Linked DNA regions of Oryctolagus cuniculus. The protein of the gene in region 1 purifies or fractionates together with the protein of each later gene. This does not show direct contact. Links are inferred from orthologs where the notes say so. Each region holds a gene or a part of one and is shown in the gene's direction. Other genes may lie near its edges.

What was found. Proteins that work in one complex are often made in the same cells at the same time.
Region 2: the proteins of UBR5 (region 1) and ATMIN purify together in Homo sapiens (affinity purification with western blotting; 3 studies listed by BioGRID). This does not show direct contact. The link is inferred for Oryctolagus cuniculus from reciprocal best matches to the Homo sapiens genes UBR5 and ATMIN.

The regions. Positions count from the first base shown.
Region 1 is NC_091437.1:127,732,849-127,738,194, reverse strand, and holds the start of UBR5 (E3 ubiquitin-protein ligase UBR5), read left to right. Parts: upstream 1-2,022; 5' UTR 2,023-2,149; coding exon 2,150-2,211; intron 2,212-5,346. UniProt on the Homo sapiens protein: E3 ubiquitin-protein ligase involved in different protein quality control pathways in the cytoplasm and nucleus. Mainly acts as a ubiquitin chain elongator that extends pre-ubiquitinated substrates.
Region 2 is NC_091449.1:63,246,660-63,251,071, forward strand, and holds part of ATMIN (ATM interactor), read left to right. Parts: intron 1-496; coding exon 497-622; intron 623-1,224; coding exon 1,225-1,424; intron 1,425-2,070; coding exon 2,071-3,862; 3' UTR 3,863-4,412. UniProt on the Homo sapiens protein: Transcription factor. Plays a crucial role in cell survival and RAD51 foci formation in response to methylating DNA damage. Involved in regulating the activity of ATM in the absence of DNA damage. May play a role in stabilizing ATM.

The DNA.
Region 1 (5,346 bases):
TTTTTTTTTTCCTGTTAGCTTTGAATAGTCTGTTCCTTCTAAATTATTAACTTCTAGATGGCAACTGTGGTATAGTGGAAAGAGCGATGGAATTAAGAGTCAGAAGACATGGCTTTAAGTCTCAGCAGCACTTAGGTAAAGTGTGTGAGACCCAGGGCTATCTATACAGCGGAGATCATAGTATTTACCTTATAGTAGGACTTAAGTATTAAAAGACATAGGTGTATCAAGTCGCGCACAGTGAGCACTTGACAAATAGAAGCTTCCATTTGCTGTAACTACAATGTGCCTGACATTCATTACCTTACTTAGACCTCACCCTGACCTTGTATAGATCTGTTACTGTGGGACATTTATCAAAGGAGAAAAAAGTAGCTATGATAGCTTAAATAATCTAACCAGGACCACATCTTTAAGCAGCAGAAAAGAAGACTCAAATCCAGGTCTTTCTGGCTGGAAAACTATCAATGCCCATTGGTCTTGCTTCCCCAGGATTTGCACGGACTTCATTACTAATAAGTGGTGGCCTTGAAATCTCGTTTCAGTCTAAACTAATCTGGGCCAACCTTGCAGCTGGTGACCTACAAAAGTGTCCTATTATCCGTCTCAGGGGTACCTAGTTTATCCTGATTTATAAATACATCTTCATGTATTTTTGATCAAAAGACCTTAAGCAAAAAGTGCAGGTGCAAGGCATTAATACAGGAAAAGCGACATTCACCCTTCCACAAGAACTTTTTACACAACCCCTGCGGTTGCCAACATCCACTCGCACCGGAGAAGAGGCTTTATGTTCCTGGGCTTCCCTCTGAAAGAGGTTACTTGATTTTCTGAAGTCGTAGAAACCTTTGAGAAGAAAGCCACGAACTTGGTTTCCTGGAAAACCCCATAGATGCATTTGAGAATCTGCCACCAAGAGTTGCAGAACTCCAGGGTACAATAAGGTATACAAGAGTATCATCTCCCATTTACAAGGAATACAAAGAATCATGAATCACGTAACTCAGGCAACCAGTGGAAATTTCCACATCGTGCACGGGTGATGGCGGTGGGGGAAGGGGGGAGACCAGGCCGATCAAGGGAGTCGCTGCAAGTGGGCTCCGCGATCTACTCTCTATCCCCTTGGGAGAGGCCCTTAGCTAACGACCTTACCTCTCCACCGAAAGGCTGGGTCTCCCTCGCCCCTCGACTCAGTCCGCACTTCCACTTTAAATACAGCCGCGGGAGCGGGAGGAGCAATGACAACAGAAACCCCCTAAGGTCGCTGACACAGTGAGGGCTGGCCCCGGGGGACACCAGGAGCAGCACCCCCGCCTCTGCCTCCTTCCCCCTCCTCCTCGGGGACACCCGCTTCCCCTCACGCCCCGCCCCGGCGGGCTCGCCGCCTTCCCTAACACGTGCTCGCCGGAACACTCGCTTCCCCGAGCCATCCCACCCCCCCGCCCGGGGCTGGGCTCGGGGGCCGAACGGACCAATCGGCACGCGCCTTACAGCGCCGTGGCCCCACGACGTTGAGTCGCCCAATCGAAAGGGCCTTAGCGCCCGTTTCCCGGAGCCCCGCCCCTCGCAGCCGTGCCCCCGCCCGCCGGTCTCCTCCCTCCGCCTCCCCCCCCCACGGCCACCCCTCCCCCGCCGCTCGGGAGCGGAGCCTGCGAGACGGAGAAACTGGGGCAGAAGTGAAGATGGCGGCGGCGGCGGCGACGGCTTCTCGCCTGTGACGCGCGGTGCGGGCTTCTGTCCCTCCCCACCTCCCCTAATCCGGACCCCGTCCGCCGCCCGGTACCACAGCGTCCCCGCAGCCTGCCCCTCTCCGCCCGCCCCAGCCGCCCCTTCCCCCGACGCCCGGCTGCCGCTGGCGGCGGCGCGCCCCGGGGTCCCGGCCGCCGGCCTCGCACTCCCTGGCGCTGTCGCCGGGGGAGCGGGTGGCGCCTCGGTCCGCCCCGCCGGGCTGCCGGGCCGCGGACACACGCCCGGCAGGGAGGCGGCGGCGGCGGCGGCGGCCCCTGCGCCTCGGCTTCCCTCCATTTGGGGACTGGGAGGCGGCAGCGGCGGCGGCGGCTGTGGGTTTTGGGGAGGGGAAGGGGGTCCGGGGGGGGCGGGCGAGAGCAGGAGGGGGCCGTCCTCGGGAAGAGGACGAGAAGGAAGCGCCATGACGTCCATCCATTTCGTGGTTCACCCGCTGCCGGGCACCGAGGACCAGCTCAATGACAGGTAATAGGGACGGCGGGCCACGGGCGGGGGAGGGGCGCCTCCTCCCGCGCCCCTCCCCCACGGGCCGAGCCGGCGGCGCCCCTGTTTACGCGCCGGCCTCCTGGGGGTGTGTGTGTGTGTGTGTGTCGGGGGGGTCCTCGCTGCCCCCTCCCCTCCGCCAGGACCCTTCCGCCGTCAACTTCTCGACCCGGGGGGCTGGGGGCGCGCGCGGCGTGGACGGCGGAGCGCGCCGCAAGCCCCCTCCCCCTCCCCGCGAGGAGCGCGTGGAGCTCGGCGGGGCCGGGGGGCGCCGGTTCCTCACCCCCACTCCTCCGGGGCCGGGGGGCTGGGCTGGAATTGCCGCTGGGGCCCGGGCCCCGAGGAATCCATATTAGTCAAAGTTGAATTGAGACAGACAATGCGGATGGGGGATGGTGGAGGTGAAAAGAGAGGGAAGAGGAGACGCGGGGCCGGGGGCCCCCGGGTAGGCCGGCCGGGGCGGTGCGGACCCCGGGGAGCCGCGGGTTCCCGGCGGATCGCGGGCGGCGACGGGCGGAAGCGCCATGATTATTGTTATTATTATTAAATCTGAGCCCCTGCAGCGAGGTTCGCCCGCCCCGGGAGGGGCTGCGTGGGGGCGGGGGTGGGAAGTGGCTTGGATTCCCGTGCCTTTGAAATGGTGCTGGCAGCTCCGGCCCCCAGCCCCCGGGGTGCGCGCTTTGTTGTTTGCTTTTCCCCGAGTTGTAATCTGACAGCTGAAAACCGTGCGTGGCGGGTCGCAGGGAAACTCTGAGGTTCGCAGTTCGCAGCGCTGGGAATTTCTGGGCTGGGTTTGCTCCGGGCGGAGGAGGAGTGATTTTCTGTCTTTCATAAAGAGGCTGTTTGGGTTTAGACTCCTCTCCTGCGTCCTCCGGCGCTGCTGGCCGGTTTAGGATATTGAATTGCAGGGCCACACGCGCCGCGCGAGCCGAGATGAAGCAGGAAAAGTTCCCTCGCTGTGGCAGGAAGACGCTCCGGGGAGGCCGAGGGAGGCTTCCATTAAAGCGTGCCTTAGAGTCCGGGGTTCAGGCCTCGCGAGGGCCCAGAAGTGTGCAGGATCTCCGGCTCCCTCGGTAGGCCGGCTGGCCCCGCGATAGAAGTTAGACTCCGTTTTTGCTAAGTGACCGGGTGACTTACGGTGCCTGTCGCCCGGCTTGTCATGTGCTTCCCGGAGGGAGGGAGAGGCCCAGCTCGCTGGTTGAGATGTTGCCCTCGGCCTCCGGGTGCCCAGTCACCCCAGGTGGGGCACGAAGCCTCTCAGTCTCCAGCGGTCCTATTAGTTTGTGGCACTGGACTCGGGCTCGTCCACTCTTCGCCGTAGCCATATTGTGTGTCGTGTGTTTGTGAAACTTTCTGAAAATTTAACCACTGGGAGTTTGCATGTACTTCCTTCTCAACACTGGAACAGCCTCTATCAATTATTTAACATTTTGCTGTGATTCTTCCATTACAGATCTTTTGCAGACTCGGGGACTTTCTGTACATTTTAGAACCAGGCCAGTAGTGAAGGGTAGCTCTGCCGTCATTCATAGACCCAGTTGTTCCAGCTTGTCCCGTAACCTGCCTTCTAACATAGAAAATTGCACCGAGAGCAGGAGAGAAGTAGGGCATGTTTTCTGCGTTAGTCCTAACTTTGTTTACCAAGAGTCCTAACTTACTCAATTGACTGCGCAAATCAGAATCTATTTTGCAGTGTATGGGGCCCTTTGATTTGTTTTTGCACATTTCTTTGGCATCACATATTAACAATTAATGAATTAACAAGTAATGAATCCTTTTGAAGCTACTTTTCTTCTAGTATAAAGAAATAAGAAATAGTTAGCTTTACTTTTTATTCTTACAGAATCAGAATACAATATTAAGAATGAACATCTTGAGTTTTTTTTTTTTTTTTTCCAGTGAGCTAAAGGAGAAGACAAGTGGATTTGAGTTAGACTGTAACGCGTACAACAAGGTGGTAGATCCCTGAACAGATAGGTACTTTTGGGGATGTAGAGTTGTATCTGGTAGCTGCCAGTGGCCTGCATTGAGGACAGTTACGCACCCCGACTTTCAGCGAGAGAGCTGTTCTGTGCCTCCCCTTCAAAAGGAAAGGTCCTCTTGGCATTTCTGGTTTAAAATAATAAGCCACACATAGTGCATGAGATTTGTTTTTAGACCAGAGGCAGCAGTCCAGAATATGTTCATCTTCAGAAAAAAAATTTGCCATGTTTTAGTGAGTTTTGATACTAGAAAAGAATGTGCGACTCTAATTTTATTAATTTATTTGAAAACATTTATTTATTTGAAAAGCCGAGTTGCAGAAAGAACAACAGACAGGGAGATCTCCATCCGCCGGTTCACTCCCCAAATGACCCCAACAGCCGGGGCGGGGCCAGGCTGAAGCCAGGAGCTTCTTCTGGGTGCCCACGAGGATGCAGGGGCCCAACCACTTGAAGCATGTGCTGCTGCTTTCCCAGGGGCATGAACAGGGAGCTGGGTAGGAAGTTGGGCAGCTGGGGCTCACATGGGGCCTGTTGTGCCACAGTGCCGGCCATATTCCGTCATTTTAATATGAGAAATGTGAGCGTCACAAACGAAATGATAAATGATAGTTTCGAGTGAAAAGTTCTTTGCGCTAAAAGCAGTAAAAGCAAGCAATGTGGTACTGCAGATAAATTGTTCAGGAAAGATTTTAGGGCCTTAATCATCAATATCTTCTTCCCTAAATGAGTTTTCTTCCAATACCCAACCCCATTTTCTTCACTTTAATAGTAGTCCTGTATGTTAAAATGTGTGTTTTTTTTTTTTAATATTTATTTATGTGAAAGAGTTGCAGGGGGAGAGAGCTTTCATCGGTTGATTCATTCCCCAGATGATCTCAACAGCAAGGGCTGAGCCAGGCAGAAGCCAGGAGCCACAAGCTTCATCTAGGTCTCCCAGGCGGGTAGCAGGGGCCGAAAGGCTTGGCCATCCTCTGATGCTTTTTCTAGGCCATTAGCAGGGAACTGGTTCAGAAGTGGAGCAGCCAGTGCTCTGTGTGAGATGCTGGCATTGCAGATGGCTTTACCCGCTATGCCACAGTGCTGGCTCCTCAGACTTTGTAAATATGTGAAACATAACAACGCGCATCATATT
Region 2 (4,412 bases), on another chromosome or scaffold:
AAGTGCTTGGGCCCCTGCATCCATGTGGGAGACCCCGAAGAAGTTCCTGGCTCATGCCTTCAGATCAGTGCAGCTCCAGCCATTGCAGCCATCTGAGGAGTGAACCAGCAAATGGTAGACCTCTCTCTTTCTCTGCCTCTCCTCTCTCTGTGTAACTCTGACCTTCAAATAAATAAATAAATAAATAAATCTTTGGGAAAAAAAAGAAAGAAATAGAAGTAAGATTTTTTTTTAAAAACGTAGTTTAGTGGGTTTCTTGATAATTTTGAATGATTTATAGTGCTATAATTTACACACTGTAAAATTCACCCATTTCATGTAAGTCAGTCATTGTTTAGCTTTACTGAGGTGTATAATCATCATCACAACTGAATTTTAGCACATTCTCATCACCCTAAAAAGATCCCTCGTGCCTGTTTTCAGTTATTCCTTATTTCTATTACCAGCCTGTTCTGTTGGTTTTTTTGAAAATAATTATTTGATTTTCCTTTTGCAGGATGGCATAGTAAATCCAACAATAAGAAAAGATTTGAAAACTGTACCGAAATTCTACTGTTGTCCAATTGAAGGATGCCCCAGAGGCCCCGACAGACCATTTTCTCAATTTTCCCTTGTAAAACAGGTATTTTACTTAAATATACTTCTCTGAGGATGAAATGTGATCCAAACCTAGTGTGCATTCTAATTACTGAGCAGATGTAACCAGAGAACTGAGCAGAACGCTCTTTGGAGAGCAGATGGCCAGGCCTCTCCCAGCTGTTGACCATGGTGTGTGTATGGGTGTGATGCCAGTGGAGAGAAACAAGGCTTATTCTGGGGGAAAACGTCCAGAAGTGAGTTTGGAGAGGAAGAGACTTCAGACTTGGTCTAGTTCAACCAAGAATGAGAAAATGTGCTCCTGTGTGGATCTGTGAGCCTGTAGAGGTCACAGATGCAGGCACACAGGCGCTGTTCTCCCAGGAAGCACCTGTGCAGCCTCGGAGAACATCTGGAAGCTGCCTCCTAGGAGAGGGGAATTGAGACAGCAGGAAATTGGCTCTGAAATGCTGCCCCAGGGTCTCCTGGCACAGACAGATTCCTGCCCTGTAGCACTTACTTGTACATGAAAGGCTGCACGTCTGGCTGTGCGGATTGTTTCTAGAGCAGACGTCCCACTCTGCACCCAGCAGAGGCGGTAAGGAGAAGCAGCACGTGGTAACCGCAGCCCCTTCTCTGTTTTTCTAGCACTTTATGAAGATGCACGCTGAGAAGAAGCATAAATGCAGTAAGTGCAGCAATTCGTACGGTACCGAGTGGGACTTGAAAAGACACGCAGAGGACTGTGGGAAGACCTTCCAGTGTACCTGCGGCTGTCCCTACGCCAGTAGAACGGCACTGCAGTCCCACATCTACCGGACTGGCCACGAGATCCCTGCAGAACACAGGTGAAGGGGAGCGCGATGGTGGAACTAAGTCAAGTTCTGGGAAGAGTGCAGTGCAGTGTCCTGGAGAGCTGGCGGTGTGGGGAGAAAGCAGGATTAGGAAGAGAATTTGTGCAGACAGCGTCAGTACTGGGAAAGGACCCGTGTCTCGGCCTGGGCCCTTGACCTGGTTGTTCCCCTTTCTCCTTTTCAACCCCCCTTGAGGGTCCCAATTTCAATCTGAAAATAGCTATCAGAGGCATATCAAATTGCTGAAAAAATAAATTTTTTTTCATGAAACTGTATTTCACTTTAAAGGTCAGTTTATATTTGATATAATAGCCACCTGTTTTCAAAATGATAGAACTTACATTATATGTAATCCTTCAGCTTCCTTGCACTTGAAGACCTGAGTTGTAGTTCTCATGTTTAGAGTTTACTTTTTTAAAATAAGTGTGCTGCTTCCTCCCCTGTCTGTGTTGTTGAACGTCTGCCTAGCATAATTAGGCCCAGTTTTCTACATTGCAGAAGAAGCCTGCCTTCTCTGAGTTGACTCTGACCTCTGCTATAGTTGAGGGATGGGGGTTGGGAAGAAGTGAAGGTGCAGTGTCATCGTCAAAGACAGCTGCATTTTCAAATTGTTTTTCTCCTGCTCTGTCACTGTTTTCAGGGATCCACCTAGTAAGAAAAGGAAAATGGAAAACTGCTTACAAAACCAGAAGTTGTCCAATAAGACCATTGAATCGCTAGGCAACCAGCCAGCCCCCAGGCCAGCCCCTGAAGAACTCGAAACTTCAGAAACAAAGCTGGGAGCCTCTCTGGAAGACTCTTGTGGCTCTAACGCCAGAAAGCAGACGCTAACAGCACCTCCAAGATATCCTCAGAAGTTGCTGTTACCAAAGCCCAAAGTGGCTGTGGTTAAACTCCCTGTGATGCAGTTTTCTTCTGTGCCTGTCTTTGTGCCTACGGCCGACTCTTCGGCCCAGCCTGTGGTGTTAGGTGTAGATCAGGGCTCTGCTGCGGGGGCTGTGCACTTACTGCCCTTGTCAGTAGGAACCCTGATCCTCGGCCTAGATTCGGAGGCCTGCTCTCTTAAAGAGAGCCTCCCTCTCCCAAAAATCATAAGTCCTGTTGCTGTTGAGCCAGTTAGTACAGGTGTTCAAGTGAACTTGGGTAAAGGCCCATCCAGTGTTTTACAAGAACTGGGGAACACAGGTCAGAAGAACAGCCTGTCTTCAACCAATGTGCAGACAGACCTGTCGTACGCCTCACCGAGCGTTCTGCCTTCTGCACAGTGGGCTGGCCCCGACTGCGCTGTGTCCTCGTGTTCTCAGACTGACTTGTCATTTGATGCTCAAGTGTCCCTCCCCATCAGCGTTCACACGCAGACGTTCGTGCCCAGCTCTAAGGTAACTTCGTCGATAGCTGCCCAGACTGATGTGTTTCTAGATCCTTGCTTCCAGTCGGGTGGGGTCTCCAGAGAAACTCAAACCAGTGGGATGCCAGCTCCCACGGAGGACTGCGTGCAGATGGACCACACTGGGATGTGCGGGGGCATTTTTGAGAGTGTCCAGTCATCATACAGTGTCCCTACAGACAGTATGATAGAGACAGTAACTCATGGTTTGCTGCCACAGAATGACCCTAAGACTTTAAATCAAGATATTGAGAAATCGGCACCTATGTTAAACTTCAGCACTCAGAACAGTATGCTTCCTTCACAGAACATGACAGATAATCAGACCCAAACCATGGACTTACTAAGTGACTTAGAAAACATCTTGTCGAGTAATCTTCCTGGACAGACATTGGATAATCGTAGTCTTCTGCCTGACACGAATCCTGGGCCTGACACCCAGCTCCCCTCTGGCCCAACCCAGAACCCTGGAATAGATTTTGATATTGAAGAGTTCTTTTCAGCCTCAAATATCCAGACACAAACTGAAGAGAGTGAACTCAGCACCATGAACACTGAACCTGTCTTGGAATCACTGGACATAGAGACCCAAACTGACTTCTTCCTTGCCGACACCTCTGCCACGTCCTACGGGTGCAGGGCAAGTTCTCAGTTCCTAGGCCTTGAGATGTTTGACACACAGACACAGACAGACCTAAACTTCTTCTTGGACAGCAGCCCTCATCTGCCTCTGGGAAGCATTCTGAAACACTCCAGCTTCTCCATGAGTACTGACTCCTCTGACACGGAGACCCAGACCGAGGGAACCTGTGCCTCGAAGAACATACCTGCCCTGGAGAGCAAGGTTGAGCTGAACAGCACAGAGACACAGACCATGAGTTCTGGTTTTGAAGCCCTGGGGAGCTTGTTCTTCACCAGCAATGAAACTCAGACGGCAATGGACGACTTTCTTCTGGCTGACTTGGCCTGGAACACGATGGAGTCTCAGTTCAGCTCTGTGGAAACCCAGACATGTGCTGAACTGCACGCAGTCTCTGACTTCTAACGGTGGAGTCCACGTGTGGGACGGACGGCTTTTACCATTTCCCTCTGGGGTTAGAAAATGGGGAACAGGGACAACAGTGTTAACTCGATCAAGTGCAGGTGGCGATGCAGTTGCTTTGATTCTTTGTGTGCGGTTCTTTGCCTTTTGTATTTGTAAACATGAAAATTGTGTATAAATGTGAGTGTATTATAAAGTGTAAGATGTTTAGCTAAAAAGTCTGCTTTTGTGTTGCCTACATTTGCCCGTTCACAAATAGTCTTTCCATCTTTAGAAAGCAAAATGTGTTTCACACCTGTAAAACCTCTATGGCCATTATAGCTGAAGCCGAGCTTAGCAGGGACAAACTTCTCAAATCTTCAAACTCTTCCAGCCAAAGTGTAACGTACTTAAATTGCTCCTGAAATATTGTCGACGATGCCCCCGTGGCTTGTGACTCCTCTGCCTGCAGCACCCAGCTGCTTTGACATCTCATCTCTGATTGAAGACACCGAGGACGACTACAACCGCCATTCGCTTTTGAAACAGTAGTCAGCTGGTGCCATCCCTGTCC